Lonchura striata: one gene and its partner. The protein of the gene in region 2 purifies or fractionates together with the protein of the main gene of each other region. This does not show direct contact. Links are inferred from orthologs where the notes say so. Each region holds a gene or a part of one and is shown on either strand. Other genes may lie near its edges.

What was found.
Region 1: the proteins of JAZF1 (region 2) and NR2C2 purify together in Homo sapiens (affinity purification with mass spectrometry; 4 studies listed by BioGRID and IntAct, with this or other methods). This does not show direct contact. The link is inferred for Lonchura striata from reciprocal best matches to the Homo sapiens genes JAZF1 and NR2C2.

Annotation. Positions count from the first base shown.
Region 1 is NC_134614.1:24,152,031-24,164,876, forward strand, and holds the start of NR2C2 (nuclear receptor subfamily 2 group C member 2), read right to left. Parts: upstream 5,384-12,846; 5' UTR 5,102-5,383; intron 4,968-5,101; exon of another isoform or gene 4,686-4,967; intron 4,570-4,685; exon of another isoform or gene 4,302-4,569; intron 1,956-4,301; exon of another isoform or gene 1,872-1,955; intron 600-1,871; exon of another isoform or gene 1-599. UniProt on the Homo sapiens protein: Orphan nuclear receptor that can act as a repressor or activator of transcription.
Region 2 is NC_134603.1:122,869,868-122,882,178, forward strand, and holds the start of JAZF1 (juxtaposed with another zinc finger protein 1), read left to right. Parts: upstream 1-6,023; 5' UTR 6,024-6,129; coding exon 6,130-6,244; intron 6,245-12,311. UniProt on the Homo sapiens protein: Acts as a transcriptional corepressor of orphan nuclear receptor NR2C2. Inhibits expression of the gluconeogenesis enzyme PCK2 through inhibition of NR2C2 activity.

The DNA of each region.
Region 1 (12,846 bases), on a different chromosome or scaffold from region 2:
ATGTTGAAAAAGTGATACCAATATAGGTAAAGCTGCTAATATTTGCATTAGGTCATCCGGTTGCAACTTCTCTCACAGTTCATAACCTGAAATTCAATGCATCATCAATGACCCGCTTCTTCCATTTAATTTTCATCAATTAAAAATATGATATTCCGAAAGTCTCTCATTTTCTAAAGCCAGTGCCAAGTTTGATTCTACATTTTCTCTAATATATGGTGAGTACAAATATAGAATTCTAGCATATTTAAAGAAAACTAGTTATGTATTTACCTGTATTGAAAACTGACAGAAAAACACAAATAGCAGGCAGCCAGCCATTCATACAGAAATGATTCAGTATTAACATGGTCATAGTAGTAATGAATTCCTAACGAGATAATGCTGCTTACAACTGGTTTTCCATGAATAACATTTTCATGGTGTTACACAGTGGACAGGCATATAATTTAAGCAGTGGCTGAATACTATAAAGAGATGAAGCCCTCTATTTACCCACCGGCCAGGAAGAAATCACAGAGCTTCATACACTCTTGAGATGGAGCAATCTCTCCAGTGGCATGATACAACCATCACACTATGTTACCACGGTGCATTTCCTGCACGAGGAATTACAAATGTCATATATTTTATGTGCTTGAGATGTTATTACAGCACCCAACCTCTACCAAAATAAAGTTTGTCGGTATTTCCATTACAAGTTTCTCTTTCCAAATATATTTGGAAGTGTTTTTTAAAAATGCATCTTACCAAATTTATACCTGGTACAGAAAACTAGTGTAAAAGATCTCTTGTTGGTTTTCACTGTGAAACTTAGGAAGTTTTGTGAAACTATTCCATAGATGTTAATTCCAGGACACTGACTAGGCCATTTTCCATGCTAAAAAGAATGAAATTTCTTTTTCAAAAATGTACTTCTAACTAGGGAATCTCAAATCCACTTCTAAAAATAGAATTAAACTTATGTTTTCTACTTATATAGGATGACTTTTTGAACTAAAAATATTTTTAATATACAGTTGTAATCTTAGCTCAATAGGTGAAAGAAAACTCCAAACTAATGACTGAAAAGTGGCCTCTTCTACAGAGGTCTCTCAGCCCACTTGCCCTTTATTATTTATTAAATCCCTTAATTACGTAACCATACGAAAAATCACAGTAAACTTCAAGGATACTAAACAAAGTAATTTTAATCAGACAAAAGATCTAGTTTATTTTTTGACTGAAATTTGCATAGCGAGGGAGATAAATTATTTTCTATGGCCATGAACACTTGCAGTTTGTGTTTATGAGTTGATTTAAACGTTTTAGCTGTTGAGCATCCAAGCTTCAATGGATATGCATCAAGCCATCACTTAATATCCCTTTAAGTAGGTTTTGTGCTTTTTTTCTTTAAGCGTAGGCAGAAAATATAAAAACTGATTTAAGGTAACCAGCTTGCTGTAAATTCACTATAGTGCATAAGTAAAACAGGTAACTTCAAATACTGTGGTGGATCTAGATTACAATTCCAATTAGATGCAGAAGCTTTCCATGTCCCAAATGGTCAATCTAAGGATTAAATGACAAGAAATTTTGCTGTATTAAGTTTTTAAACAATTCATAATACAGCCAAGTTTCTCTATAGCTCATGTTGAACTTTCTACTTGCATTCTTCATATTCTTCATATGGGGGCCACCAGAACAAAGTAGGGTGAACAAAATGTGTCCCAGTTGCACTGGTTTCATGCTTGTCCCCAAGTGTAAAGCAGCACTTTTCTTTAAAGATCTTCTGTTCCATTTATGCTTAATTGCAAACAGCGGAACTCCCTAATAAGTTTTTAATTTCAAAATCTCATATACCAACTCTTGTGATATCATCTGTCACTCACCTCAGCCACCTGCTGAGTCTCCACTACCTGCTGAGCCAGCACCTCCATATTGGTTGCCATGGTGAAACAAGACCATTAGAGAACCTGTTTGGAAAGATGCCAGCAACTTCCATCAGGCACAAAAGTTTGGGATCTTTCTTAGTATTAAAGAAAGCTCTGCTACGACTTTTTGAAAATTTACAATTCTGCTTGAAATATCTGGCAAATAAGAGAAGATGCCATTGATGTGTGTGTGTGCACATATACATACACACACACACATATACATATATGGGACATGCATATTGGAACCATGCTGTTCAAACTGCTGAGGTACAGTTGTTCTTTTACTTTATTAAGCCTCTAATATACTCTTTCCACTCTGTTATTTAAGCTGTAAAAAAGAGATGTGAATTTCATAAATGAGAAAGGACTAATTTCAAAGTCAAGTACTAATGCAGTTTGTGCAATTCATAGATCTCAAAGTCACTTTCTTCAGCTCAGGCAGGAGATGCCTTGCCACATGCTGAACCAGGGAGCAGCAAGCTAAGAATGCTGTTTGGCGTAGAATTTCATTGAGTCGTTCCATCAAATCACCACGTTCATCCATATTCTTAAGAGTAATCTTACACAATAAGGGAAATAAACAGTTACATCTAAAATGTATCTTCCATTATTTAAACTATTTCTTTATTATAATGTGATACTATTGTCACAATGAGAAGAAAATACTGCAATAATTTTATCCTATTCCAAGTAATTCCACCTTCAACTTCAGGGGTTAAAAAAATTACAAAGAAATCAAAGACAAAGAAACAATTATAAACCACTTTCAATGTATTTTTAATTATCATTATTAGGGGTATATTTCTTCAAAGTTAAATTTAATTAAGATTTTCAATTAATGCATTCAGTTTTTAATTGTGACTTGCTAATTACAGGGCTAGATTTCAGATTCTAATCCAAGTGTAGGTAATCAAAAGGCATTCCTGAAGGCAGGCTCATTTGATGTTTCATTGGAAACCTCCTTAAAATTGCAAAGCAGTCATTTAATATAAATTTTAAAAATAAAACAAACAATAGCAACACAGATAACAGAAAAATGTATGCATGTCTCTACCACTCATTCAAATGTAACTTCTACAAAGTTAACATTGTTAAATATGTCAGAATTTGTTACATTAAATGGATTCACTTATATTGCGACAAATGTGAAAATAATTTTGTATATGTCAAGTAAAGATTATTTGTAATAATGCATAATCAAACTTGAGACATCCCCATGGAATTTGTATTTACACTAGGTTCTCCTAGAGCTTGTCATTATTTTATTGAAGTATTGCACTTGATTAAGACTATGAACCATTTCCACCAAACTCAGCTTATGGATGGTTTCTTAGTTGTTCAATGGTTCCTTTTCAGTGTTTCCTCTTTTTTTTTTTTAATATTCAGCAAGAAGCACAAGAAGCATAATTATATGCTCATAATATACTGTTTGCTTAGCGCTTTATGACAGAAGCCCTTCAGATGAGATACTTTGTTCATAACAGTACCTTTCTGAGACACAAAACACAAGTGTTTGCAATAGAGTGAGTCTGACAGATATGCTATTGTTGGTGTTACCACCAAGGCTTTTTGTACTTTCAACCTTCATAGAAGAACCTTAAGCTGAAGCTATCTGATCAAATCCCGCTTTGAGCACAGAGACTATACACAGCCACAAGCTTCTTAATGGTGTCAGCTCTCAGAAGGCAAAATCAGCTTCCTAGCCAAAGCCCCGAGCAACAGTTTGTAAGGCAGCCACAACAAAAGCCCCCAAACCAACACAAGAGGTGAAATTTTAAAAACTAGGAAGAAGCACCTTGAGCACCAGGAAATTATTTTCAGCATAATAGGGTGGCAGCCAGCTTAGTATACATTGTCCAAAACACAGCGTAGAATCACTAGTGTTTCCCTAAGCTGCAGCGCAACCTCAGAAGCAAGTCATAAATTCTACTTGAGAGGTTCTAAGGGTATGGCTCTACTGACAAGACACGGCAAAAGGCCGCATTCAAACTTAGTGAAATTTGTTCCTTTGTCTTAATGAAACGAGGTTCTTTACGCTGAGTCCGACTCGGCTACACCAAGCGGCCTCTAGCAGGCTGCCATCGGCAGGACGGGCGAGAAGCGGGTACAGCCCTGTCGGCAGTCTCCCGTATATTGTCCAGGCAGCAGGAAGCCGGCCCACACCCGGACACCGCCGGCCGCCGGCCCACAACCCGACACCGCCGGCCGAGCAGGAGCACCGCGAGCGGCGCCGGCATCGCTCCGACCCCGGCCAGGCCGCGCCGGGCCTGCCGCGCCCCCATTGGCTGAGCCACGCGCGCCGCACCCTCATTGGCTGCGCCACGCCCCATCCGCCGCTGAAGAGCCTTCGACAGCTCCCCGCGGCGCGTCGTCGAGCCACGCCCCTGGCCCGACCAATGACCTCAGGACAGGCGCAGCGCTCCCCCGCAGATCGCCCATTGGCCGAGCCACCCGCTTGTAACAGCGGCGGTACCGCCCCTCGAGCAGAGGGAGAGCCCCCCGGGGATTCACTGAGCACAAGATGGCGGTGCTGGCCGTCCGCCAGAGCCCAGGCGGGGCTGCTGCCGCCGCCATTAGGCCCCTTCCCTTCCCCTCCGGTACAGCTTTGTATCCGCCTAGAGGAGACCCAGGCATGGCAGTGTGGAAGCGGCCGGTAAGATGGCGGCGGTTTCAGCCCCGTATGCAAAGTACCCGCCGCCCCCTCCCCTCCGCCCTCCCGGTGGCAAAGGTAAAAGGGTCGGGTTCAAGCCGCCGCCTCCGCCCGCTCAGACTCCATCTTCTGCCTCTGTGTGTCCCGCGCTCGTCATCACCGCGACCATCGCCCTACACCCCTTGGACAGCAGACTTTGCTCACCGCGACCGGACCAGCCCCGACCTCAGCCGGCCCACGCTGCAAACAGCGGCTCCGGCACCAGACTGCCTCGCCGATCGACCCAGCACGCCACAGTGGTCGTTTCCTCTTTCCAGGAGCTGTAGACCAGGCCAGACCACGGCTGGTGCTCGCTTACCAGACAAATACCGGAGCCGTGCAATCCCCCTCCCCTAAACCCACCGTCACCCCACCCCTCCCCTCGCGGGGGTGTCCAGAGTAGGGCCCGCTGCCGCCTCCCCGCGCCCCCTCCCTCGTCCTGGCCCCCACGAAACAAACCCACCAGGCCGCTTCAATTTTAAAAAATGTTTTTTACCTCAGGAATGGGCGCCAAAGGTGCAGTGGCGGTGACCCGACCGGGCCCGGGCAGGCCGGTGCCCAGCAGCGGCCCTCCCTCCCCCCGCGGGGGCTGCAAGGGGCTGTGGGGCCCGCGGAGGGGAGGGGGCCGGGGCTGTGTTGGGGTCGGGGGTGTTTTGTTATGTGTGCCGTGCCCTGTGACAGGTCAGAGTTCGTGACCCCACCGCCGCCGCCCGGTAGCGCGGTCCCGCTTCCTCTTCCAGCGCCAGCCCGGCCGCGGCCCCTCCATCCCCCGCGGGGCGGGGCCGGCGACGGGGAGGGGCTACCGGGCTACCTGGGCCTTCCGAGCCCTGCACCGCTCCGGCCGTGCCGGGGACGTGCCGGGAGGACCCTGGCCTCCGGCGCAGCGAGGGGAAGGTACGTTCACCGCCTTTGTTCCTCTCGCTCGGGAGGCTCCTCAGGAGCTGGCAGCCCGAGGTAGCGGGTTGGCGGTGGCTGTCCAGTGCGCTGATGGTATTGATGTTACAGGTGTACCTTGGTTCTCGCTGACGATACAATCAAAGGTGGGCTCACAGTAGAGCAAGCTCTCACAAACGCCACCGCCAGACTGTCGAGTTTTTATTTAATTTTGTAAATTCATTGATTAGGGCTCTTACGGCAAAGCTTGCTGTGAGGTATGTTGTGCCTTCAAATACACAATGATAGGCACGAAACAGGTTCGGGTGTAGCTGAGGTGGTGTAGGAATTTACCACGTTTCAGTGCTTGTCTTCTCACAGGCTAACAGATGTTCACCCCTTGTCATAACTAGCTACTTCTTAACCTACTCTCATCAAAATGTTTTTAATGCTTCTAGTAGGTTTCCCTTGAGTCTTACAATTTTTACAGAAGCTAATTTAAGAAGCAGTTCGATTAATAAGATAACGCCTGAAACAAAACGGAAGACCTACCAGTTGAATGCAACAATCACAGAAACGAGGGGTTGTTGACTTAATAGTTACAAAGTCAATATAATGATTTTTTTTTTTTTGGAAGATTGTAGTTTTTTCTTAGAAATGGCTCTTTGAGGTAAGGGTATGATTAATGTACTAGACCTATGAATTACAGTCTTACTTTCACAGAACAAGAATTATTAAAGCATGTGATGTGCAGATGTGTTTGCAATACACAAATAAAGGAAAATGCTTCAAAAATGTCTTCATTGTGGGTGTTCACTACTGTAGGGTAAAATAGATGAAGAATTTTCAAATTCTCAAAAAATGGATTTGTGCATACCTTTAGAAGCAGATTTTTTTCTTTTAACTTCATAAAATATACTATAAAAGTGTGATTGAATACATGGAAAATGCTAAAGCTAAATATGAATGGCTGCTTCCCCATCCCCCCCCCCCCCAGTATTTCCTGATGGGCAAGTTGAGGAAAGGTTTAGAAGGCAGGAGGGTTTGTTTCCTCCATCTTCCTTGTTTCTGCAACCAGGAGGTAGTTTTGCAGCAGTTTTACTCTGAGCTCTGGTGGAGAGCAATCATATTTGCTGTACAGCTCCACCGCTGAAGAAAGCTGCATTAACATTGTGACAAATTTCACTGTGGTTTTTGCAACAATTTCAATGAAGTTTAGAACTACCATGTATGCTCTTGACTTATTAAATAAGCAAGATTGTATTAGATAATGGTGAAATTTGCTAAATTTATATCCACAGCTATATAAAGGAGTGTTAGTAAAAACTGCTTTTTTGCTTTAGCTATGACTGAAGAGAAATTAATAGACTATGCCAGAGATTAAAAACATCAAAGAGAACTGAGATTACAAGTCAAGGTTAATAACTAGACTGGCAGCAAAGAAAATAGTTATATTTATCTACCGCACTGTGGTGAGCTGACTGGATTGCAGCCACATGATAACCCAGTCACTCACTTTCCCCATCTCTTCTCTAGCAGGATGGGGAGAAAAATGACATGAAAAAGCTCATAGGTCAAGATAAAGACTGAGCAATCAACAATTACTGTCGTGGGCAAAGCAGACTTGGGGGAAATATGTCTAACTGCCGGTTAAAATGGATGTGGATGGTGAGAAAATCAAAAACGAAAATACCACCTTCTGTAGCCACCGCTTTCTGCCAAGTGTAATTTCACCCCTCTCCCATCCAGCCCTCAGGGGGTGGGGGATTCCAGCCGGCACACATCAGCTCCTGCTTGCCCTTCTGCTCCTCATGGAGGGCTGCTGTCCTCATCCCGCAGGTCCTGCCGGGAGGGCGAGCTGCACCGAGAGCTGCCCTCCTCAGGGCTGCTCTCCCCACGGAGCACGGTCTGCCCCCCTCACGGGACAGCGAGCTGCCCCCCTCACGGTACAGCGGGCTGCTCTCCCCACGGAGCACGGTCTGCCCCCCTCACGGTACAGCGGGCTGCTCTCCCCACGGAGCACGGTCTGCCCCCCTCACGGGACAGCGGGCTGCTCTCCCCACGGAGCACGGTCTGCCCCCCTCACGGGACAGCGGGCTGCTCTCCCCACGGAGCACGGTCTGCCCCCCTCACGGGACAGCGGGCTGCTCTCCCCACGGAGCACGGTCTGCTCCCCTCACGGGACAGCGAGCTGCCCCCCTCACGGTACAGCGGGCTGCTCTCCCCACGGAGCACGGTCTGCCCCCCTCACGGTACAGCGGGCTGCTCTCCCCACGGAGCACGGTCTGCCCCCCTCACGGTACAGCGGGCTGCTCTCCCCACGGAGCACGGTCTGCCCCCCTCACGGGACAGCGGGCTGCTCTCCCCACGGAGCACGGTCTGCCCCCCTCACGGGACAGCGGGCTGCTCTCCCCACGGAGCACGGTCTGCCCCCCTCACGGGACAGCGGGCTGCTCTCCCCACGGAGCACGGTCTGCTCCCCTCACGGGACAGCGAGCTGCCCCCCTCACGGTACAGCGGGCTGCTCTCCCCACGGAGCACGGTCTGCCCCCCTCACGGGACAGCGGGCTGCTCTCCCCACGGAGCACGGTCTGCCCCCCTCACGGGACAGCGGGCTGCTCTCCCCACGGAGCACGGTCTGCCCCCCTCACGGTACAGCGGGCTGCTCTCCCCACGGAGCACGGTCTGCCCCCCTCACGGGACAGCGGGCTGCTCTCCCCACGGAGCACGGTCTGCCCCCCTCACGGGACAGCGGGCTGCTCTCCCCACGGAGCACGGTCTGCCCCCCTCACGGGACAGCGGGCTGCTCTCCCCACGGAGCACGGTCTGCCCCCTTCACGGGACAGCGAGCTGCCCCCCTCACGGGACAGCGGGCTGCTCTCCCCACGGAGCACGGTCTGTCCCCCTCACGGGACAGCGGGCTGCTCTCCCCACGGAGCACGGTCTGCCCCCCTCACGGGACAGCGAGCTGCCCCCCTCACGGGACAGCGGGCTGCTCTCCCCACGGAGCACGGTCTGCCCCCCTCACGGGACAGCGGGCTCCTCTCCCCACGGAGCACGGTCTGCCCCCCTCACGGGACAGCGGGCTGCTCTCCCCACGGAGCACGGTCTGCCCCCCTCACGGGACAGCGAGCTGCCCCCCTCACGGGACAGCGGGCTGCTCTCCCCACGGAGCACGGTCTGCCCCCCTCACGGGACAGCGGGCTGCTCTCCCCACGGGACAGCGGGCTACTCTCCCCACGGAGCACGTGTTGGCCCGAGGGGGCCTCTCCTCAGGCCGCAGTTCCTGCCTGGAAAGAATGAACTGCTCCCAGCCTTAGCTGAGAAAGGATTTAAGTGCTGGTCAATTTCAAACGCACCTGCTGCTAAGTACGTTGTAGCTCCTCCCATTAAGTAGGATAGTTGCCTTAGAAGAAAAAAATATGCTGCAAAGCTGCCACACAAAAAGAGAAGGAAAGAGACCCTGTGGAAATTATTCCCTGCCCAGGAGAACAGACTAAATTCCCTATGGAATAAAGGTAAGATGTGCGTTACTTGCAGGGAGGGAACGAGGCTCTAGGCATGGAAGGAGAGGACCTCTACAATGAATGTGTGGGCTGCAAGAGGCCAAAGCTCTCTCTCTGGCTATGGTGGTGGCAGTAAAATTACATAATGGACTAAGAGGGATCAAAACTTGGGGCATGCCAAATAATATAAAATACAAATATGGTTTGAGGTTATTCATGCGTTTTGAATATTTGGGATAAATAGTACTGTAGAGCTCAGTTGTTTGGGGTTCTTTTAAGTTCTATTTTCAGTTGCTTTCCAGAATATTTTCTGGAACTTCCAAGGTAAATTGTCAGAGCCGAGCCAATACTTAGTATGGAAGAAATCAACCATTACAAGTGACTGACAAGGTTTTAATAGAACTGTTTGGTATTGTTAATGCCACATTCAATTTAAATCTCTCTTTTAAGTGTTAGCAGATGATTTTTAAAGTATGAATCCTCATGCCTTTCATTTGGGTTTGTACATGGCTGGGCAGTGCAGAGGAAAGCTGGTGCCCTCCATCAAGTGGGAGGTTTTCCCTCATTTCTCCATGTTTGTCTCTTTATTAGTAAAAGTGAGTTTGCTGTCTGCTGTAGGTTTTCTTGACTGCAGAAAAATATCACTACATAAAATTATTAAGGTTGGGAAAGACCTTCATGATCATCAAGTTTTACCTTTCACCTCATACCACAATTCCCTGGAGTCTGGAAACTTTCTTGTCAAAATGTGATGAAAAGTGATGTTACAGTGTTACCTAGGCTGAAGAATCACAGCTTTTAATACGCAGTTTTATTCCTAAGTTATTTGTGGAGTTAGACTAGTGTTTTTTCTCTCAGTATTTAAAGGAATACATTTTCTCCTCACTGAATATTGTCTCTTTCTTTCACCTTCACAAGCACGGATATTCATGTACTGTTGTTACAGCCAACATAGTTTTTACTGCTTTTATATCAAAGCAGCATGCAAATAGGAAAGCCTCATTGGTATTCATAGCTGTGTGGTAAAAGCAGCAGAGAACTAGCTCAGAAAGGGTAGCAGTCCAAGGTCTTGACGAGCAGTGCTTGTGTGAGTGGTATAGTCCATCTCCAAATGACTTGTACTTTGATTTAGAAGAAAAAATTAATAACTGTTTAAAAACCAGATTTTAACTAGGCGTATACCATAACACAGGTCTAAATATTATTTGCAAATAATAACTAATAAACTTAATGCTTTTTAATAAATCAATTAAACAGAAAAACTCTGAAACAACATATGGGAGAAGCTTGATCCCAGGTGTTGGCTGAGCAGCTTGAACCTTGTGACTTGCTACTAAATTTTTTTATCATATTTGTGAAGACATGGAACAAAATTTTTGTTTTGAAGGAGTAATACTAGCTAGAAATTAGTATGAAAAAGCTGTGTAAGTAAATGTCAGCTGAATATGTACCTCTATTTTAATATGTTAGCATTTTCTAAAAGGTGATTACTGGGTTAACTCTGAAATAAATATTTCTGTCTGTGGTGCTTAGCTTTGCTCAGATTCAGTTAACAGCAGGATTGAAATTGTGAGGACATTTTCTTTAATTTTTTTTTCTCTTTATGCTGCATTGAGACCATTTGTATCTGTAACTGAAGTCAAGATGAAGTAAAACAGATAGGGTTTCTAGAAGATAAATCAGTGTGATTGAAGCACATCATCATACCAATTAGGTCTAAATCCTGTTTCTACCAGAAGGCCTCCAGTACCATCTTCTGATGCTTTTCCTTATTTGTCAGAGAACTGCTTAACAGGCAAGTGTCTCTAACAGTAACTGGAACTGCAGGGTTGGAGTCAAAGGTAGTAATGGTGTAAAGGAAAAGCCTGTAGAACTGCAGTTATGTTTTGCTCTTTTATTTCTCTACATTACTTAAACCAATGTTTAATAGCACTGTATCTTATTTTTTACAACAAAATATTTTCATGTTCATTTCCTGCTTCTAACTGAAAGCTTCATACAACAGTCACTACATGTCAGCACCTGAATCTTCATAATATTGTCATTCTGTAGTGCAGTTTTGTTTTGTTTCAGACCGTAGTTAGAGATCTTACTCTGTATTCGATGTTGTCTTATTTTTCTTGTCAGTGCAAAATGTTTTCAAGGGGAGATTTACAGTGTATTGGTAGCAAGGCTATGTCTCTTACATGAAACAAAGTTAAGCTTGCTGTTCATCCATTAACTAAAGAATACAGAAGTTTTATTTTTCTCATTCTTGGTTTCTGTTTGCACATGATAATATATGCTTAATGGAATGGTCAGACTCAGGTGTATCAAAAAAAAAACCCCCAAAATGACCTTTGTATTTAGTGGTAGATGTTTCTCTAAACTTGTTTATTCAGGTGATAAACTGATCTACCTTACCATTTGGATATATATTGTAGACCTTTAAAATATGGACAATTCTAAAAAATTTGTTAGGGTCAGAAATTCAGATCTCCATTAAGTTCCTTGAAGAAAGTGAAAAATAAATGTAATAAAAATTCCCACCAATATAATTTAATGCAAGTAAATTCTTGAGCGTGTTATTTTTATACAAAGATATATTTTAATCATAGATGTCATTCTGTTCCTCAGTTAAATATTATGACTGAGGACAAAACCACTGTGTTGCAATGATTAGAACATCACCTCTCAGTCATCTTTATAAAAACTCCCACCCAAAACATTAAAATACCCCACTGCAACAACAATAACCAAAACAAGAAAACCAAACCAAACAAACAAGAAAAACAAAACAAACCCCACACCCCCCAAAAAAATTAAAACAAAAACAACCCACACAACAACAACAAAAAAAACCCAACAAAACACCCCCCAAACTCTAGAGATCTATATCCTCAGCTGATGTAAAGCACCACAGCAGTCTGACATAGGACAGGTGTGGCCACAGGAGTTCCAAGTGACTCCAGCAGAGCAGGTTTAGAAAAGTGCATTTCAGTCCACCCACCATATTTCAAATGCTGTACTGGTTATGTGGATTAAACTTTTGATGACATTTTTCATAACAAGAACCACAGAAATAACAGGAATTTTGGTATTAAAGATACAGTATTTAAATAGATAATAAAAGTCTTAACACTGCTAGGTAGATGTGTTAAATAAAAACTGTAGTTTTATAATAAATTAAAAATAACCTTTGAGTTTGAGTCTGAAGTATTTAGAGAGATAATTCAGCATCTGGATCTGTAGAGCTACTTGAGTGCATTTCAAAGTACTGCAGTGATACAAAACTAAACCTTTAACATAAATTATACGGTGATTTGTGTAAAATTATAATTGTTAGTAAGTAACTATGTTGGATCATGGTCAGTGAAGTGTTGGTAAACCAGGTAAATCGAAGGTGTTTTTACTTCATTTTCTGTGGAAACAATTTAGCATACGCGGGGCATAATTTCATGCTGGCACCTGTTAATGGATGAGTAATCAGGCCAGAGAACTCCTTAGAAACATGAAGAAAATGAAGCTGTAGTTCAATAAAAAATGATAAAGTGCTTTAAATGATCATTTGTTGTTTACTGCATTGTTTCTCATGTCACAATAGACATCAAAATCAACCCAATGAAATATGATAGTAGTCTGGAATAAGTAAAACTGAGTCTGTTACTTACTATAGTCAATATTTCCATGTATTTTCTGTTCTTGACGTTAGACTTAGGTTACTGTGGGATCAGAAGAGAAGCTTATAGTGCAGGCTGAACTTGCACAGACATAAAGGTCACTATAAATAATTTCTTATCTTGAAATTTTCATTTGCAACAATGAGTATGTAAGAAGGAGGAAGAAAAAGAGCAAGCTGGAAACAGTTCAGATCCAGTGTGTG
Region 2 (12,311 bases):
GATGTCAGCAGATGACATGAAATCTGGTTACAACTTGAGGACTCAATTTAGGAAGTAAAAGTGGAAAAAGTAAAAAATTAAAAATTATAGATTTCTGCAGTTTTAAGACACTGCAAAAGCTATTAAAATGAAAGCTTCATTCTATACCACTAATCTTCATTAAAGAACAAGTTTACCTTTCATTTAGATAAATTTACAAAACTGCATTTCTTTTCTAGCCAGTTATTTTAAAATAGACATGCTAATTATTCCAAATTGTCTGAGTGAAACAACACATAAGATTTTGGCAAAATATTCCACTATAATCCACAGTAAGAAGAGAGTAGGTTATTTAATACATATGTAACTGTGGGCTCTTACAAGAGACTATTGAAATAGCCGGCATTTTATAATTCCAGGGCAGACTAACAAAGTAATAGTAATATATGATATAACATCATGTTGGTTTCAAATTTTCTGAAGTAGTTAAAACAAGAAAATTTTCTTTTTTATAGGCTACAGGTAACTGGAAATACAGAAGCAGTTTGATCTCCTGTTTATCTAAAGCTTTGTCCTCTGAAAATGTGAAGTCTCTCAGAAAGTTAAACTAAGCAGGAATTCTATCTATTGTTTTGGGGCATCTGGAACTAGTGGGGAATACAGTGTTTTCCCAACATTTTGTATTTCCATTGCACCCTGAAGCTATACAGTACACTGCCAAGAGAAAACTAATTCAGCAGTATAAATTAAAAATAGGATTCTTGTGACACAAACTGCATAAACATGGTTTACTTGTGTAATTATTTTGCAGCAGTGAAAATATGGTTTATTTGTGTAATTATTTTGCAGCAGTTATATGTCTTTGTTATGAAATCTTCACAAAATGTGTGACATTTCTGATAATGGCCAGTATGCAGAGGCAAGCAGAAAGAAAATTATTAAAAATGTTATTGAAGAATGAACCAGTATTTTTTTAAGGGAAAGTGATGCCAATAATTTCTTTGCAATATCCTATTGCCCTTGGTTTATTATTTCTTTAAGTAGATATTTTCAAATATGACTTCAGCAGTGTAAGTGTCAGAACATATAGTTTTAAAAGAGTAATTTAAAAAAATTTCATAGATTTCTGTTGTCACTATTATAAGTACAGCAGAAAACAAGTACTTAAACTATGCTTTAAATGGGACTCTGAAGAAAGTATTGACTTTTTCCTTAATATTTAAATGGGTGCTGGTGTCTTCAATAAAAATCTTATCACCCTCAAAGCACCAAGTGTAACAACTACTAAGATTTTCAGATTCAGACCTCTAGCCTTCAGAAAGTATTAGGACAGAATAATTGGCTTTTGGGAATCCAGTATGAGTGGCTGGTGGTAACCTACCCATAGATAAGGCCCAGTAGTTACAGCAGTTGATTACCACAATTGAACTGCTAAGTTTCTAGTTAAAATTGTTTATTAGAAAGAGCAGCAGTCAAAAGGCATTGAAAAGGGTCTAAGAGCCAGACTATTTAAGGAGATAAGGTGTCCAAGACAATAAATCAGTATAAGGTAGAACAGAATTAAAGTTCTCTAAACATGTTCCTTACTCTATAAAATAGACTTAAAGTGAGGCACAAAGATAGTAAGTTAGTGAAGAAAAGATGAAGTCTTAACACATGCATTTTAAAGCAGGTAACTGGATGATCTAGAAATCTACTCAGTTAATCAGCCCTCAGCCTTGTACAGAAGGTCTGAGTAGCAGCACACCCTTCTCACATGGAGTCCTGCTCTCAGCTGTGCCCAAGAATCTGCCCAAGATGGAATTATTGTTAAACTAAGGGTCTTAGGGGGTCTTCAAAATAACTTCTTCAAAAACAAATAAAACATGGTCCTACCAGCTGTTCGAAGTAGGATCCATTTATCCTTTACAATAGCTATTAACACCTCTGAAATTTATCTACCCACTAAATTGCTCTGGCTTGACAGATCACTTGGGCCTAATTTCCATTTATTTCTCCCACAAAATGACAAGGCAGCTTCTGAGTACTTTGGCAGTTTGTCATACGGATACACGAGTTCTCTATCCTAATAAAGCCTGAATAAGAAAATGCCCATACAATCACAGAATGGTTTGGGTAGTAAGGGACCCTAAAGATCTCTCTCTGAAATGGGCAAGGACATCTTCCACTGGAACTGGTTGCTCAAAGACTTATCCAACATGATCTTGAACACTTCCAGAGATGGGGCATCCCAACAACTTCCCTGGGCAACCTGTGCCAGTGTCTCACCACACTCAGAGTAAAGAATTCCTTTCTAATACCTAAAATAAACCTACCCTCTTCAGTCTAAAGCCACCACTCCTTGTGCTATTAGTGCATGCCCTTGTCAAAAGCCCCACTTCAACCTTCTTACAGACCCCTTTTAGGCACTGAAAGGTGTTTCCAAAGCCTTCTCTTCTCCAGGCTGCACTGCCCCAACTTCCAGCTTAACTTCAAAGGAGAGGTGCTCCAGCCCTCTGACCATCTTTGTGGCCTTCTTCTGCACTTGTTCCAACAGGTCTACATCCTTCTTATGTTGTGGGTTCCAGAGCTGGATGCAGTCCTCCAGGCAAGGACATGAGAGCAGAGTAAAGACAGAGAATCAACCCGTGGGGTCTCCACGCAGGATGCAGCCCAGGACAAGTTTGGTTTTCTGGGATGAAGTGCACCTTGCCAGGTCATGTCAGATTTCTCATCCACCAACACTCTCAAGTCCTTCTCAGCAGGGCTGTTTGCAATCCAGTCTCTCCCTAGACTGTATCTGTGCCTGGCATCTCCCTGATCCATATGCAGAACCTTGCACTTGGCCTTGCTGGCCTCCCTCAGGAATGCACAGGCCCACCTCCCAAGCCTGTCAAGGTCCCTCTAGCTGGTGAACTTTCCCTCCAGTGTGTCATTGGCAAACTTGCTGAAGGTGCCCTCAATCCCTTGTTGCCAACAAAGACGTCAGACAGTGCCAGTCCCAACACTGACCCGTGACGAACAACACTCTTCACACTGTGATCATTCATAATAAAGAACTTCAAAACATACTGGATCAGATAAACTTCTGATAAGAAGTTTGGTAAAATTACTCCACCTCCCAGGTATTAGAGAAAAACAACAAATACATGAGGAAGAGTGGGTGTTCTTTGTACAAGCACCACTTATTATCAGGACATAATGAATTTTGTCTGTAATACATAGATGGTAACATGATGACAACAGTAAATCAGTGATGGGAAGAGTTAATTTTGGGGGCATTCTTCACTGTGTCTGTTCATGCCTGTCTGTCATGAGCCTGGACATCAAAACCAGGGGCAGAAACTCCTTTATTGTGTAGGGAAGAAATACCTTCTAGTATGGAAAAATAGGGAGAGTGTTCCAAGTTTTTAAATCATAGGAAACAACATAAACAACATATGAAGTGGTTTAATTATTCTAACTTCTACTGAAGCCATCAAAGTTGAATATGTACAAAAACAGTCCCTATGGAATAGAAGTCATTTCATCAAAAGATAATGAATGGAATCCCTATGGGACACCCTGGCTTTCCAGCTCTTCTTGGCTGCTGCAAGAGTTAAGCTCTCTCTCTACCTCAAAGGGCCACAAAATTCCTGAGAGTTTAGCAAACAATTAATGAAAAGAGACCTGCAGGTAACTGGACAAGTTCACACATCAGAAAGCAATCATTACATTGTATGTTACTAGCAGGTGGTTAACCATAATGTTTATTACTTGTCAGTCATTACAGACGTACTTTGATTTCTTTGTAGGTGACCAATGTCTTTGTTAATAGCTATTAAAAGTTTTTGATAACAACACAATATCCATCACAATTTTGTTTCATAACAGACTAAACCACAAATTTGTTGACCTTGTTAGATTAGCCATGTGAAATTCTTATATTTAATACTCATTCTGATTAATCTTGATTTACTGCCTTAGAAACTTTCTATTTGAATTATGCTGGTAAATGGCACCAAGACAATGTTTACTTGTACATTTAAAAGGCCTAGGTGTTTGATTCTACAATTAGTCTCTAAACTTGCAATTTATTGGGGAAGATGCTTATCTTCCCTTTTCCCTTCTCTTCCACATTCACTATTTGTTTGTTTATGTCTTGGTTACAAGGGCACTTCCACAAACCTGACTTAGTGGTATTATTCATGACAGCAGCTTGTGTGGCATGAGTTTCCAGAATGACCATCTTAGATGGGAAAAACTCCTCCTTCATTGAGTCAACTCACAGTGAACAAATTCCTTTGCTTACACCAGAAAGACAGTGGAGAAATTAGAAAAATAGTAAAATGTAAAGTAGCTAGGCTTGAAACAGGTGGACCGAATGACAGATGTGCCTCTGTATTATTCAAAAGATTTATTTCTTTCCATGAGATGCTTCAAAACAGCAGTCTTCCAACCTTCTAAACTATATGTTGACCACAGTGAACCTTAAAAACATACTGTGGACTATTATGTGTCCATGCTACTATTATTTTTTTAAGTGTAATAGTTCTATGTTTCAGCATCTCATGGCTATGAGAACTCCATTTACAAACTCCAGCTTGGATGGAGTGTTTTCTCTCCACATGGTATTTTTCTGGAAAGGCTTTGTCTTTGCTTTGATGCAAACTAAAATGAGTGGGTTTATACATCTAGAAAAATACAACTGGATGAGGGCAAAACATCACAAAAATATTATAGTGAACACCTAAGAAAATTACTACAATAAAATGCAAGATAAAGCTTGTTTTCTCAACACAAATGATGGGTTCTCTGGTATATAGGATACTAGGAACTAGCTCCAAGAGTTTTCATCCTTTAAGGAAATAGACAAACACTAATTTTTTTCATTCACTAACCATTCTACTGCATTTTTAGGATTTGCTATTCTTTGTCTCCCACAGCAACATTGAGAACATCCTTATCTGCAATACAGGTAACAAGATATGCAAGGGCTAGGCTTATTCTTGTGCACACGGTTGATTTTACAGAGATAACACCTTGGGACTGTAATCTGTCAGCAGGATCAGCAGAACCACTTGTGTCCATACAATTCAGTCTCATGCAGATTCTGAGACTTTTTTTAGCCCCACTTTTGCTCAAAACTATTAACAATGTTGTAGACTCTTGCAATTATAGAAAAAATATTAATATAAAACAGAAGAAGGGGGGAGGGGGGAAGGAGAGCCTTCCTGACAAGCGATCTGTTTTTTTTTTTTTTTCTTTTCTTTTAATTTTAAATAAAGCTGTCTGCGAATTTGAGCCTAGGGAGACCTTCATTAAAATCAATTAATCAGTCAGCCTCTCTGCTGAATAGCTTTCTGGAGACAAAATAGGATTTGGGAGCGATGTGTGTGCGACTCCTGTTTAACTTTTCTCCCCAGGGCCGCAGTCTCACACCCCAGCTCCGGGGGAAGGGAGACCGTAGCCCACCCGGTGCCGGGGGCACCGCGGTACTTCCAGCAGGTGCCCGGGGCCTGCGGCTCGACGCCGAGCAGGTGAAGGTTGTGTTCGGCGGCCTCGGCCCCCCTTGGGGAAGGAACGACCGCCCATCAGTTTAGCGACCTCGGCGAGGGCTGGTTGCTCCCCGCCCCGGCAGGGTGGAGGTGACGGCCGCGTTAGGAGCCAACTCCCGGCGGTGGGTGAGCCCTCCGGGGCGGGCGCCACCTTCCCGGCCCCAGCAACGACCCCGGAGCATCTCCTCTCGCCCCGCCGGCCGCAGGAGCAGACCCCAGCCCCGCCGCTGCCTCCGAGAGGCTGAGAGGGAAAGTTCTCCCCGCTCCCCCCGGCCCCGCGCGGAGCCGGACGAGGCGGCGCGGTGTCCCCCGGCGGCGGAGGGCGGCGCGGGTGCCCTGCTCCTCCCGCCGCCGGCGGCCGCCGCCGGGGCAGCACAGCTGTTACAGAGCCGCGCTGGTCCCTCCTCCCAGCTGCGGCTGCCTCATCTCCCCCCACCCAGCCCGTCCCTCCCCTCCGCCGCTCCCGACGCTGCTGCTGCCGCCGCCGCCGCCACCTCCTCCTCCCCACCCCCACCCTCTCTCTCGCTCCCCATCTCTCTCTCCGTCCCGTTCCCCCCCTGCCCCCGCCTCTCCCCGCCCTGCCGCCGCCGGCCCTGGCAGAGCAGGCACCGCAGGGGGATCTCGATGTAACACCATGACAGGCATCGCCGCCGCCTCCTTCTTCTCTAACGCCTGCAGGTTCGGGGGCTGCGGGCTCCACTTCCCAACCCTGGCAGAGCTCATCGAGCACATCGAGGACAACCACATCGGTGAGTGCCCGCGGGGCCGCGGCTGGGGCAGGGCGGGCGGGGTGCGCGGGGGCCGCGTGTGCGGCGGCGGCGCGGGGCGGGGTGGGGGGCACAAGGTGCAGCGGGAGCCGGGGCGCGGCGGCCGCCGGGGGAGGAGGGTCGGCGGGCGTGGAGTGGCAGGAGCGGGTCCTGCGGGCGACGTGGAGCGCTCTTCGGGGAGGTGGCGGCGTGCGGCGCGGCGGCATGGGTGGGTGCGGGGGAGGCGTGCAGCCCGCCGGCCCTGGCGAGGGGGAGTTAGTTTGCATTGGCAGGAGGGAGCGCAGGAGCCCGGAGGAGGAGGCGGTGGAGGAGGAGGGAGGAGGACGGGCACAGCACGCCGCCTGCTGCTTCCGCCCCGGCTCTGGCTGTCAGGGCTCCGGGGAGGGAGGGAGCCGCCGCCGCGGCAGCCATTCCGCTTCCTCCTCCTCCTCCTCCCGCCGCCGACACTGCGTCCTGTCAGCGCCGTTGCTAGGTGTGGCGGGGAGCGCGGGTCGCGCTCCGGCCGCCGCAGCGCGGGAGGAGCCTCTCGGTGGAGAGGCACCGGCGTGCAGGAGCCCGGGGTCGGCGGCGCGGTGGGCGTGGAGGGAGCGCCCGGCGGCGGGGCCGGCGCAGCCCCCGGGGCCGGGCGGGCGGGCGGGAGGAGAAGGCGGCCGCGCCGGGTAGGACCCGCCGCCCTGAACCGCAGAGCCCAGGCCCGGCCGCGCCGGAGCAGCACCTGCGGGCTCCCGCCGCAGCCGCCGCCCCGTGCTCCGCTCCGCCGCCCGTCCCGCCAGGGCCGCGGGGGCGGGGACGCGGCGGGGCGATGACTCGTCAGTGCCTTCCCGGCGCGGGCGCCTCATGGGCGGCGGGCGGGAGCGTGCGCAGGGGCGCCGGGGCCGCCCCTCGGCGGCGCGGGCGGCGCCCAAGGGAGGAGGGGGCGGCGCGGCTCCCGGCCGGCCGCGGGCGCCAACTTTCCCTCAGCCCTCTCCGGCGGGACCGGCCTGCCCGCCCCGGCCGGGCCTCGGGCGTGCTGGAGCGCAAGGTCTGCCGGCAGCAGCATCTCGTCCGCAGCCGGGCGCGGCACCGCCGCCTCCCCGCCTCGGCAGGTGTGCTGCTTTGGCTGCTGCGCTGCTTGCTTCCCGTCTGCATCTTCCCGACTTTCTCTTTTTGTTAGTAAAATACAGCGCTTAAACTATCAAAAAACGAGGTACTTCTTTGACTCAGACTTAAGTTTTAAAAAATACAGAAGTTTCAAGTACCTAGGGGACTGAGTGTTTAGCTAGAAGTATGAAGAAATAGTGCTGCTACAAAACGTTGAAGGTAGCATGCATTTCAGTTTATTGAAGTTTTAATAAGCCTGCCTGAATACCTGAAAAATCACTGAAGCTCAAATTGCGAATGTAACGTTACGTTAATGTAGCGTTAAAGGTCAGCAAGATGAAAGGTGTGGTTCTCATAATTACCACGATACCTAGTATGAGGTAACAAAACCACATACCACAAAACTGTATAATTTATGACTCGACATTGTGCAGGTATACCATTGTGCTATTGTCGGGTTTTTTTTAATCTCGTATCCTTAGCTTTTCTTAGACCGTGCCATCACATTACACCAGAAAAGCTTACAGGAAATAGTTCCCCAAAATGAAAGTTCATAAGTCATTTTATGCGCCTCTTGAGTGGATTATCAGCCCTTAGGTGCCACAGCCCACAGTGTGTCAGACAAGATACAGCCCTGCGCATGTGGTCTGTGCATTGCTGTTTGAGTCCCGATCAGCAGTTCTGAGACTTCTTCACACAGAAGGGAACTTTATGTTGAAATACTGTAATTTAAAAATAATTAATTTTGTATTTAATGCTATAGCCAGCATTCATTAATTTTACCTTATCTCAAAGAGAGCTATGGATTGTGCATGCACATGTTTAATAGAGTGTGTCTTTTGCCAAGGCTTCCAGGACATAGACCTGAGGCTCTGCAAATGGAAGCTCTGCAAACAGAAGCTGCCGATTTGAGTACAAACTGCTGGGGTATGACAAAGTTGTTCATGCTTTATTTGTAATGTTTCACCTCTACATGACAGCAGGTTGAACTTCACCTGCTTGTGAATAGAGGATGTGGCAATGTTATATTACCTGTATGAGAGACTGAGAAAGTCAGTAGGGAGTTGAACCAGTGACACTGAAGTTCCCATGTGAAGCTTCAACTCTGGGGTTTGGTGTGTTCAAGGAACTCCTATCACAGCCTAAAGGATGATAATCTATGAAAACTCGCCAAGTTAAGTGCTCAGCCAAAAGGTGATTAACCTTTCTGAAAGCAACTGGGAAATAAAGGACTGAATGTCTGAAGAGGAGTTTATGTTGGAATTACTTTTTCAGGAAGATAATGCAAACAGTGTCCAGCTTTTGCCGTCATACAGGCCTACAAATGTGCACTGAAATGTGTTGCTATAAAAATTGACTGTATTTTTTGGTATATGGAGCAAAGAGTAACATGCCACATAAAAATAGATTGCTTTGGACATTCAGCATGTGCTACAGGAATAAAGAAAACTTGATTGAGTTATATTGCATTATTAGTTTAAACTGAAGTGGGTGATGGCTGGGCAGACGGTGTTTCAGCGCAGGTAACAAACTTGATGCTGCAAACAGCTGTGTGTGGGGAGGTGTATACGGCACAGGCTCTAGGTGGGCTGGCTGCTGCAGTGCTGCTGCTCTGCCATGTCTCACGGGATGGGTTAATCGTTCACATCGTCAGTGGAGCACTCATAGGACTGTGGTTGTTTCTCAGAGCTGTACTGTGTATCTGAAAAGTGGAAACAAACATTTAATCAAGGGAGGTTTTTGTTTTGGTTTTTTTTTTGGTCAGCCTTTGGCAAAAAACTCAGCTTAGCATAAGGAAATAGGAAAAGAGATAGTGGGAAGAAAATGATGCACCAGAATTTTCACCTGAACCTGAGGAAGTACTTCTTTATCATGTGGGAACCTACTCACTGGAACAAGTTGCCTGGAGTGATTGTGGAGTGTCCCTCACTGGAGATACTCAGGAAACATCTGGATGCAATCCTGTGCCATGTGCTCTAGGATGACCCTGCTTAAGATGACCCACTGTAGTCCCTTCCAGTCTTACCAGTCCTGTCATTCTGTGAAACACTGCTGTGGTATTCTGGAGGCATTTCTGAGCAACCCTGCAGCTGATTTTTTTGCTTATAAAACTAATGAATAATCATTTTAAATGAAATCATTTACTGTACAGTGGTGGTGGAAGTTAGTGGTTACTTGAAAAAGTATCAGTGCATATCATCTGGGAGAGTTACGGCCATTGGATGAAGTATTCAACTCTGAGGTGGTGCTGTGTGTGCATCAACACATAACTGCTTTTTGGGTTTTGCATTTTAGATCAAAAACTTGTGAAGAATTCGGCTCACTCAGAAACACTGCTCTGGGGTCTTTCATAAGGCAGATCAGGCCCTGCTGGTGTCCTCTGCAATGAGACTGTATTCTGCAGTCTGTAGCAATACTACTAAACAGTGTGTTCACATTTTCTGTGGCTCACAGCTGGAAATGGATGTTGATTTAAAACTGCTGATTTGTAAATGCTTCTCTGTCAGCTTTTTCTACAAGCACGTTGTCCAAGCAACCTGAAGTGCTGTTACCTTCTCTGCAAGTGTGCTGAGCAGGGGGGCTTTTGGCCTGCCTTGCTAGGCTGTCTCCCTGCCTCTCAGTTTTGTCTGCTCTGACCCCTTGCAGGTAGTTTGGTTAACTTTTCTGACATCCCTTGCCCATGAGAAAAAGGCCAAATATACTACAATTAGACAGGTTCAGACTGTCAAATGGAATGGACTCAACTCCCCTCAGTAATATCAAGAGAGGAGCAAAAAGACCCCCAAACCCACCAATTCTGAACTGCCAAATACTCAGCTGTGACAGCATGGCAAACTTCATTGTATTTCTGCAGTCCCGTAGTGTCTTCAGCTATGATGTTGGGACCAGCACAGCTGCTTCCACAGAGTGTGTCTGAAAATATACTTTACTCTTCTGGGGCATTTTGAGCTGTTCGTAGAATTTCCTCCAATTTGTTTCTCCCTCAGTCTATCTGCAGTTAAACTGCACTCTTTAGAGTGGAGTCAGGTAGCTCCTTAGTTGCTAAAATGAAGTTTACTCTGATGCTGAAGGACCAATATTTAGACTGAATCTCTTCATCAGAATTTGACAACATTTATTTATTTTAATTTTTGCATGGTATTTGTAGTAAAATACTTTAAAATCAGATGAGGTTGCTGTTTGTATGAGGCATTATGTGGCCACTTGGCTCATGGTAAATGCTGACACAGTGTATGTGCCTGTGTACATCTTTGGTTGATAGGAGCAATCATGCTTCTCCTGAGGCTCATCAAGCATTGAGGAAATAGATGTAAATGAATGAGTATCCAAACATGTGATGGTGGGCTAGAAGAGGTGAAAGAGTGGATAGAAAGAGATACAAAACATAAATCTGATGACACTCTTACCTATAAAAGTTTGATAATTGTATTTCACTGAAACTACTAGAATTTGAAGGGAGGAAAAAATTACCATCTACTTTTGCAGTAATTGCACAAAAAAAGGTGATCAGCTGTTTCTGAACATTCATTATAGCTTTGCAAGAAGTCCCAGTGCTGGACAGCTTTCAGAGGAGTATTTTTATAGTGTTGCTGTTGGAACTGGGAGCTTTTCATCAAGCTTGACTAATTCCCAAGTACTAGGATGGGTCCTGCAACAGAACAGGACCTGCTGTGAGAGCAGAGGCAGCTGCTTTTGTAAGTGGTAAGATTAGAAAGAAAAATAAAACTTCCTCCATAAAAGAATAATTGCAGAAGACAGAACAAAACCTTCCATATAAAATACTACCCATCTGGAAAGTTCAGGTCATATGGAGGGAGAAAGAGTCTTAGGAATTTCCATGTCTGGTGGTAGCTTTGACATCTGCTGCCTTTAGTGAGTTAAGTTCTTAATATTATGCAGTCAAAGGGCCAGATTCCCCAGCAAAGAGCTCAAGTAGCTGGATAAGCCATTGGCTGAGTGAATGTAGCTTTCTTAAAGTTGTTACTTTCAATATTTTCTCAGGCATGCTAATAAGTGTGGTGTTCTCACCTTGATAGTTACAGGTGTTGAATGATACTCTGGCTGTGAGCACATGCTAAAATATCATTTGGTGTTGCTAAAATATGGTGGGCTTTGCTTTCTGCTGCTGTGTCGCCCAGACTTGGATGAAGTGCAGTCTGACCGAGGTGGCATCTTCTATATTGGAGCTGACTGCATGTTGTGTAAAACAAGCATAAGAAGATGCAGCTGATGAGGATGAGGGGCTACGCACCAGCATCTACACAAGGCCTGGAAAACCTAAGTCTGTGTGACAGGTTGTGTTCACTTCAAGCTGAGATCTTCACAAGAGTGTGAACGTAGTCTAAGTCCTGCCGTCATGTAACTTTCTCTTAGCATTTGCTCAGTGTGTTATTTAACATTTGGAGTTGAGGCCAGCTGTTTTGAAAAGGTGGGAGATCTCAGCCTAAGGCTTTCTACACCAGGAGTGATGTGGCAGCTAGGTACATGGAGTGCTCTCATCAGCATCTGAAAATCAGATGACAGACGCATACTTAGGTGCCAGTAATATGCATGAATGTGTTCCCTTGCAAAATAAACAAATACGTGCATTTACCTCAGCGGGAGTACTAATTATTGTTCATGAAAAGCAGTTTACGGCTACATTTAGCTAAAGTTCATCCTCTGCCCAGTACTTCTGCAACTGGAGTTTTTGTTTCTTATTTAAAATGCATTTCACAGTGATGTGGAAGGATCTGTTTTCCAAGGATGTTGGTTATTTGCTTTGCAAGTTGGTATAGTGAGGAAGGCCCTTCTATCTCAGGGATGCATTTCTATCAAATAAAGTCTTTTTTTTTGACTAAAAGATCTAATCAGCACTGTTTTCCCTCACATGTAATCTTAGCAGAGCAGGTTTTTGGATAATTTTGCATTTACAAGTATGGCTTATTTTGCTCTTTGGGTTTGAATATAGATTGTGATAAAATGTGGC